2 linked regions of the Zea mays genome follow. The protein of the gene in region 2 interacts with the protein of the main gene of each other region in a pairwise test. Links are inferred from orthologs where the notes say so. Each region holds a gene or a part of one and is shown on either strand. Other genes may lie near its edges.

Region 1 (3,500 bases), on a different chromosome or scaffold from region 2:
CCCTGACTTAGAATTTACTACCGGGATGCTTGGGAGATATCAGATCAACCCAAGCATAGAACACTGTTAAGCAGTTAAGAAGGCTCTAATGTACCTCTAAGGTACGAAAATGGCCTCATGCTAACAAATATAAGATCTAGTTCCCTATTTCGAGGTATAAATTTACTATATCTGGGGGAGTTATTTCTTATAAAAGTTGCAAACAGACAGCGAGAGCATCGTCGACAATGCACACTGAGTTTGTAACCATGCATGAGGCAAATGGGCAGGCAATAAAGATAAAGAAATTTGTACCCGGATTAAGAGTGGTTGATAGCATAGAGCGACCACTGAGAATTTACTGCGATAATGAGCCAGCGGTACCGTACTCCTATAACAGCAAGTCAAGTGGCGCTGCCAAGTTCATTGACTTTTAGTATTATGTTGTTAAGGAGTAGATTCAGGATCAAATCATAAAAGATGAGCATAACAGAAGATAGCAGATGCTAGCGGATCCGCTCACAAAAGGTCTTCTACCCAGCGTGTTTAGTAAGCACGCATCCGGCATGGGTTTTAAGGGAGTACCTATGATCTTGAATCAAAGGGGCTACAGATTGCAACCAAATGAAGTCTCTTTTCGTTCTGAAGCAGGAGAGCATGTTGTAGTCAATGAGTGCGATGATACTTAATCGGTTATTGTCACGCATTGGTCTCTATGTGTAAACTTGTCGAGGGATGGAATCCAGAAAAGTTGAGTACAAGGAATGTAGAGAACAAAGGGGAGATTGTTGGGTGTGTCCTCTACAGCCGGTCAATAGAGACTGGATTGGGCTTAACCCAACTATCGTTCCTTTAATCGGGCCCTTGATCGGGAGGGCCCACGCTAACCTCGGTTGGAGCCCCCAGGCACACGACGCTATATATATAGGACTAAGGGGTCGCAGGAAAAACTAACGCAAGTACCTCGCCCCAAAACCCTAGCTACCAGAGGCCCCCATCGCCTAAGTGTCGGAGTGTCCGGAAACGCTACAACCAACGGCAGCTCGGATTCGATGCGTGCTGTTTCTCTGCAGGACAACAATATGAAGACAGCAACTACAACTCTCCAACAATAAGGTATGTTTTCCTATTCCTCTTAGTAGAAGAGATGTACTCGTCATAAAGATTTCACTTCCAGTTACGGATTGGTTTTCTAAGGACTTAGGAATCGATCCTACACAGTATAGATTCTAACAGTATTGGCATGGCAGAATGGTCAGACGTTACGTAGTTTTCGTGAGATCGATGCCACTGGGTAGAGACTAGGGAGTACTACCTTACCTCACTGCAATGTTCACTTCTCAGGGCGGCTTTTCAGGGCCCTGTGTTAATAATGACTGAAAAGTGAGCTGACTTTACTTTAGGTGCTGCTGCTCCACTAAACAAAAGGTTCGGAGCACAGAACCTTCTTCTCCATTGTGCTGGCAATGATTGGGCAGAACCTGAACTCCAAAAGGCTAGTTTCCTTTCTAGCCCATCATTTTTTTTTCTTTCTTATATGCATTCCCCTCCTCTCTTCTGTAAGCAGCTCTGTGACTTTTACTTTTAAAAAGCTATGTAACTTTGTCCTAAAGAATATAACACAAGTGCACAACAATTAATACGAGCGGCTTCGTTGTGGTCGCAAATCTGAATCGCAAACTTGAGTGTAGCTTAACTGGTTACTAGTTAGGTGTTCTTTAAATTATGGTGAAACTTGTTTACTCGTGTTCAAGTCATTGAGCTAACACAAATACTTATATTTTTTAGATTTATTTTTTTAAGATTAAACAATGTTGTTTTCTAGTATAGTAGACGATGTGCTCGTCGATAGCAAGGTGTTTTTGTGGCAATTTCGACAGTCTCCAGATCTCTCGATCTGGACTCGGTCTTTTAGAGGCGCACATGGGGATATTATATCCATGCATTTATGAGTGAGTGTGTCTATGTTTTTATTGTTTGTCAGATTAATAAGAAATCGGCATTGGAATTTGACGTGGTGTGTGGAAGAGGTTTATTTATGCAAATTACCGCTGCTCAATAAAAATAAAGAGGAACAAATTCACATATTTTTTCAAGGAATTGACAAAATAAAATACTTCTTTATTTACACTAGAACCTAGGAGAAATAACTCCTTTTCACTACTCCAGTTACAAATGTCACCTAAATCGCTTTCCACACGTACTGTCCCACCTTATTAATCTCTCTCTAACTAGAATCACTCCATCAGAGATTAAGGAGCAGGAGCTAAGAATTAGAGGCCACTTGGTAGCGCTCCATGGAGCGGATTATCGATTAAAAATCATTTCCGGCTAGCCAAACAGCAATTGCACATATATGTTAGTGTGGATTAGTCAAGAAGTACTTCACCATATAAACTGGAAGATATAGGAGCTAAAAATATGTTTCTCACTGCTTTCTATTCAATTCCAGTCATAATCACTCTTATCAATTTCCATGTGTTCCTCACAAAAGTTAGTGTATCATAGAGCTAAGGAGCTTGAGCTACAAACAAAAAGCCACTCCCATCTACCCTCCATCTAAAAATAGTAATGATATTAAACTAGAGAAAGAAAAGTCATGTAAACTATTTTTTAATCATTATTTTATTTTATAATATAAAGCCAGAGGATAAAAAATCAATACCATTTTAGAGTTATTTTTAACACAAACCTATTGATATAAGTTCTATGCTCTAACAATTTCACTAATTATTGATAAAAATTTATAAGTTTTGAATATTTCCCCTGGTTTATAAGATCGTTTAGACCGTGAGGAGGCACAAAAATAAAAGGATTCTTTACTAGCGCATGGGTCCCCCAAAACGATCTAGCACTAAATGTGGCCCATGTGGCAAACCTTGAGGCACGTAATCCAGCTCTAACTCCTCCGATTTCGTTGACAGCAGAGATGCCGATGGTAAGTGATGGAAGGCTTGAAACAGTCAAACCGTATCGTACTTGTCCCCTCGCTTTACACGCTACCCAACTTTATTCGGCAAGAACCGAACTCGTCGATCGAGATGCAAACCCGTAGAAACTGAAGCGAACAGTAGATTCTTGTACAGGGCCGCAGTTGTCATCTCATCGTAGTGCTCCCATTTGTAGCCCAAAAACTGAAGCGGAGGATGAGAAGGGCGGAGCGCATGGCACCGTACCTGGCCCTCTGCCTTGCGCGCTCTCCGGGAGCAGCACTCCGGGTGCGGCGCCGGCGGGCATGATGCTGCCGCCGGGCCCCGGCACGTGGTGAAGCTCTGCAGCCTGCTGCACGGCCTTCGCCGTCGCCCCCAGCGGCGGCGGGTAGTAGCTCACGCCCTGCGCGTAGTGCTGCCCAGACTTGTCAGCCACACAGCACACAAAAAGTAGAAAAGAAAAAAAAAATGAAGCAGCCAGCAGGGGACGCGCGGCCGGACCTGGACCTGCGGTGGCGGCGGCGCCGGCTGCAGGTGGTTGACGCCGATGTAGTGCCCGTACGGCTCCGTGATGCCCACCGCGGGCATGTG
Region 2 (4,073 bases):
TCCATACTTCTGTGAGTACCAAAATTGTAGTTACATGTTGGTAATGCATCTGGTATAACACATGCAATCTCTTCTCTGTGCAGGGCCAATCTGGGGCGGCATCCAACAACCCTCATGAAGGGTACAACCTAACGCAGCACCAGTCCAACCGCCCACCTCCATGAGAGTTATGTATTTAGTGTTTCGAACACAAAACTTATGTTGAATACTTGTCAGAGCGTGTAAACTTGTGTTGATACTTCTGAACTTCTGTTAATACTGTTTGTGTTGAGAACCTCTCAACTTATGTTGAATACTTATGTCAGAATTTGTGTTAATACTGTTTGTGTTGGCTATATATGTCTGTGATGTATATATGTGATATCTATGAAATATCTTTTGTTTGTTTGGATGGAATAGGGAAAACAAATAAAAAAGGTGTGTACTGGTCTTGACGAGTGTAACACTCGGCAAAGCACCTCTTTGCCGAGTGTCAGAACCATAACACTCGGCAAAGAACCAAGACCTGGGCACCGGTATAGGTTCTTTGCCAAGTGTAATGGCTCTGGCACTCGGCAAAGAAGCACGCTTTGCCGAGTGCCACACCAAGCACTCGGCAAAGTACCTGACATGGGGAACCCCTCCGGCGGATTCTTTGCCGAGTGTTGTCAGGCAGTCACTCGGCAAAGACGCCGTCTTCGTCACCCGGCGCCGTAACGTCTGCTTTTCTTTGCCGAGTGTTCTCTGGCACTCGGCAAATCACTTTGTCGAGTGCCCGAGAAAATTTTTTCGGCAAAGAAGACTTTGCCGATGCACTGTGTGCCGAGCCCTCTTTGCCGAGTGCGACACTCGGTAAAACCTTTGACGAGTGTTTTTAAGGCTTTGCCGAGTGTTTCAGACACTCGGCAAAGCCGTCGGTTCTGATAGTAATTGTTAATTCGCATGCCCATAGACGGCTCGGTTTCTGTACCAGCAAGTACATGCACACTTGGGGGGTTGGGGTGCAGTTGCTTTGCGCAGGCTGTCAAGGTGCGCAGCAGGGAAGGAAGAAAGAAGCCATCCAATCATTTAGATCTCGCTGTGCAAGTACTAGTACTACGGAGCAGTAGTAGTAACAAGCTTGTGGTTGTGGGATCAGCCAACTGCGCAACGAAAAATAATTGCCACTGTATGCCCAACTCAACTCCTAGCTAGGAGAGGAAGAAGAGTACAAGGAAGAGACTGTGGCAAGCACAGCACAGTGGATACACACCTAGCTTGGCCGGTACAGAGCACCGTGCTTGCTTGTCCATTTCCGTCACAGCTAGCGCTTGCCCAGGTCCCCCACCTTATCAACAACAACTGTGCCCCTCCTGCCCCCGCTCGCCGCGAGAGCTCCCGTCCCGACGACCTTCCCTCCTGTAGCACTCTACAGTCTACACCAAGCAGCAGCGTCTCCTGTTGCATGTTGCACTGCACCTATCTACGACGTCCGTTCCCAGTGCTTTGCTCACCGACACCGTATCTTATGAGCAAGGAGCCCTGCTGCTCCCATCACCTTCATCAAGCCAAGCGTGTGTCCTCTGTCCTCTCCCAGCTGCGAGCTCCGACCCCCGGCACCATGTGAGCGGTTCCTTCTCATTCAAGCTCAACCTTGTCTCCGGGTTCTTGCTTGCTTGCTTGCTTGCTAACACCGCTGCCTAGCAGGTCCGACAGCAGCGACTTCGCCGAGCTGCTATGGGAGAACGGCCAGGCGGTGGTGCACGCGCGGACGAGGAAACACCCGCCCCAGCAGGCCGCCTTCCCGCCCTTCACCTTCACCTGCAGCAGCAGAGCTCAACAAAGGCAGCCGGTGCCGCCGCTGCTCAAGACGGGAGGAGGTCTCTTTGCCGACTTCTCCTCGGCCACCGCCGGCCTAGACGCCCCCCGTGACAACGCCGACCTCGACGACACCGTGCCGTGGATCCACTACCCCATCCCCATCGTCGACGAAGCCAGTCCCGCCGCGCCTGCCCTGGCAGATAGCTTCATCCCAGATTTCTTCTCGGAGCTGCATGCGGCGGCGGCGACGACGAGCCTCGGCCCTCTGCCACCACCACCACCACCACCACCAGCAGTCCAGCACACCGGCGACGACAACGACAACCGGAGCACCCCGGTTCCCAATCCCACCACCGGCAGAGGACCAGAGCCCTCAAAGGAAACCCACCGCGCACCAGTACCAGGTCCAGCCGGCAGGCCTGAGCCACAACCACAAGCTGAGCTCGCGCCCGCCAGGAAGCCTCGGCAGGAGAGCGGCGGCGGGGAGGCTTTGATGAACTTCTCCATCTTCTCTAGGCCGGCAGCCATGGCGCGTGCCAGCCTGCGGCAGAGGCCGCCACAGACAGGCACCGACAAGGCGTCCAATGCCACCACGAGCACCCGCGTGGAGTCGACGGTGCTACAGTCGGCCAGTGCCAGTGGGCCGAGAACTGCAGCTGCCCCCGCCGTGTTCGTGGACCAGAGGACGGCGTGGCCGTCGCAGCAGCCCAAGGAGGTGCGGTTTCCATGCGCAGCAGCAGCGCCACCGCCGACGCCGACGGCTGGTAACCTGCAGCAAGAAAGACCTAGCAACAACAACATGACTCCTCCGCAGAAAGAAGTAGAGACCAGGAAGGCGTCAGAGGCTGCGGGCGCCACCGCCACCTCATCGGTCTGCTCCGGCAATGGTGCTGGGACAGGAAAGGACGACGAGTCCTGGCGCCAACAGAAGAGGAAGACCCTGCAGGCCGAGTGTTCCGCGAGTCAAGATGATGTAAGCAGAGGATGTGAAGATATCGCACACCTTGGACACTGGAGTATCTAACACTGGTTCTCTTCTCTTCAGGATCCTGACGATGAGTCCGGTGGGATGAGAAGATCGTGCAGCAGAGGTGCGAAGCGCAGCCGCACCGCGGAGGTGCACAACCTGTCCGAAAGGGTAAGTCCCATGCCAATATGCCATGCGATCGATCTCGAGCTGGAGCCTGGAGCTGTGCACTTGAACTCACCGCACTGTAATGCATGCAATGCAATGCAACAACAAACCTGCAGAGGAGAAGGGACAGGATCAATGAAAAAATGCGTGCCCTGCAAGAGCTCATCCCCAACTGCAACAAGGTATGAAATGTAGATGGTAGATGGAACTGGTAGCAATAAACAGATGTATCGTCTCATCATCTCTCTCATTGCGCGCAGATTGACAAGGCCTCCATGCTGGACGAAGCGATCGAGTACCTCAAAACCCTCCAGCTTCAAGTGCAGGTACACTGACTAAAACTCGAAATGTAGCATGGTTCTTCTTCCATATAGATCGATGCACTGACAAGATATATGGTGGTTCTCTTTGATGCACTGACACATCACACAGATGATGTCCATGGGAAGTGGGCTGTGCATTCCTCCCATGCTGCTGCCACCAGCCATGCAGCACCTGCAGATTCCTCCGGCTGCTGCTCACTTCCCTCATCTCGGCATGGGATTGGGTTACGGGATGGGTGTCCTCGATATGAACAGCGCGGCGGCGGCGGCGGCGGCGGTTCCATTTCCGCACATGCCCGGTGCTCACTTCCCTTGCCCGATGATCCCAGGCGCGCCACTACCACGGGGTCTCGGAATCGGAATGCCTGCCAGAAACACGATGCCGGTGTTCGGAGTCCCTCCTGGGCAACCAATCCAGCCACCATTCCCATCTTTGGCGGGCCTTCCTGTCAGGCCAAACCTGGCACCTCCTCACGCCTCCTCAGCCGCCATGGCTAACATGGTGCAGGAGCAACAGCAGCAGCAGCAGCATCAGAGCCTGAATAATGGAGCATCAACAGCAGCAGCAACAGCATCAGATCCTCAGACTATCGTGCAGGTAGCGTTTCACAAATAGTGTATATAAAAATAGCTGAAAAGATCTTCGCCTGGATCTCTTATATCCAAATTTCACAATGGTTCCAGGCTGAGAGACAGCATTTTAGTGTGCCCTCTTCAGCACAAACCGAGAGCGATCAGTTTTTGGATGGTGGTGGCAACAGGGCTATTTGTACAGGAAGAAATGAGGCTGAAACATGAAAAACACTCAGCAGGTGAGTCTCTGTGTGTGTGTGACC

The links. The genes of interacting proteins can lie anywhere in the genome.
Region 1: the proteins of Transcription factor PHYTOCHROME INTERACTING FACTOR-LIKE 15 (region 2) and Transcription factor PHYTOCHROME INTERACTING FACTOR-LIKE 13-like interact in binary tests that used the Arabidopsis thaliana proteins (3 or more experiments, as listed by UniProt). The link is inferred for Zea mays from reciprocal best matches to the Arabidopsis thaliana genes PIF3 and PIL5.

What each region holds. Positions count from the first base shown.
Region 1 is NC_050096.1:258,572,712-258,576,211, forward strand, and holds part of Transcription factor PHYTOCHROME INTERACTING FACTOR-LIKE 13-like, read right to left. Parts: coding exon 3,411-3,500; intron 3,325-3,410; coding exon of another isoform or gene 3,313-3,324; coding exon 3,156-3,312; coding exon of another isoform or gene 3,082-3,155; exon of another isoform or gene 2,080-3,081; intron 1-2,079. UniProt on the Arabidopsis thaliana protein: Transcription activator. Negatively regulates chlorophyll biosynthesis and seed germination in the dark, and lightinduced degradation of PIF1 relieves this negative regulation to promote photomorphogenesis.
Region 2 is NC_050103.1:1,249,804-1,253,876, forward strand, and holds the start of Transcription factor PHYTOCHROME INTERACTING FACTOR-LIKE 15, read left to right. Parts: upstream 1-1,273; 5' UTR 1,274-1,423; coding exon 1,424-1,581; intron 1,582-1,665; coding exon 1,666-2,752; intron 2,753-2,824; coding exon 2,825-2,917; intron 2,918-3,030; coding exon 3,031-3,096; intron 3,097-3,174; coding exon 3,175-3,240; intron 3,241-3,346; coding exon 3,347-3,835; intron 3,836-3,921; coding exon 3,922-4,035; 3' UTR 4,036-4,049; intron 4,050-4,073.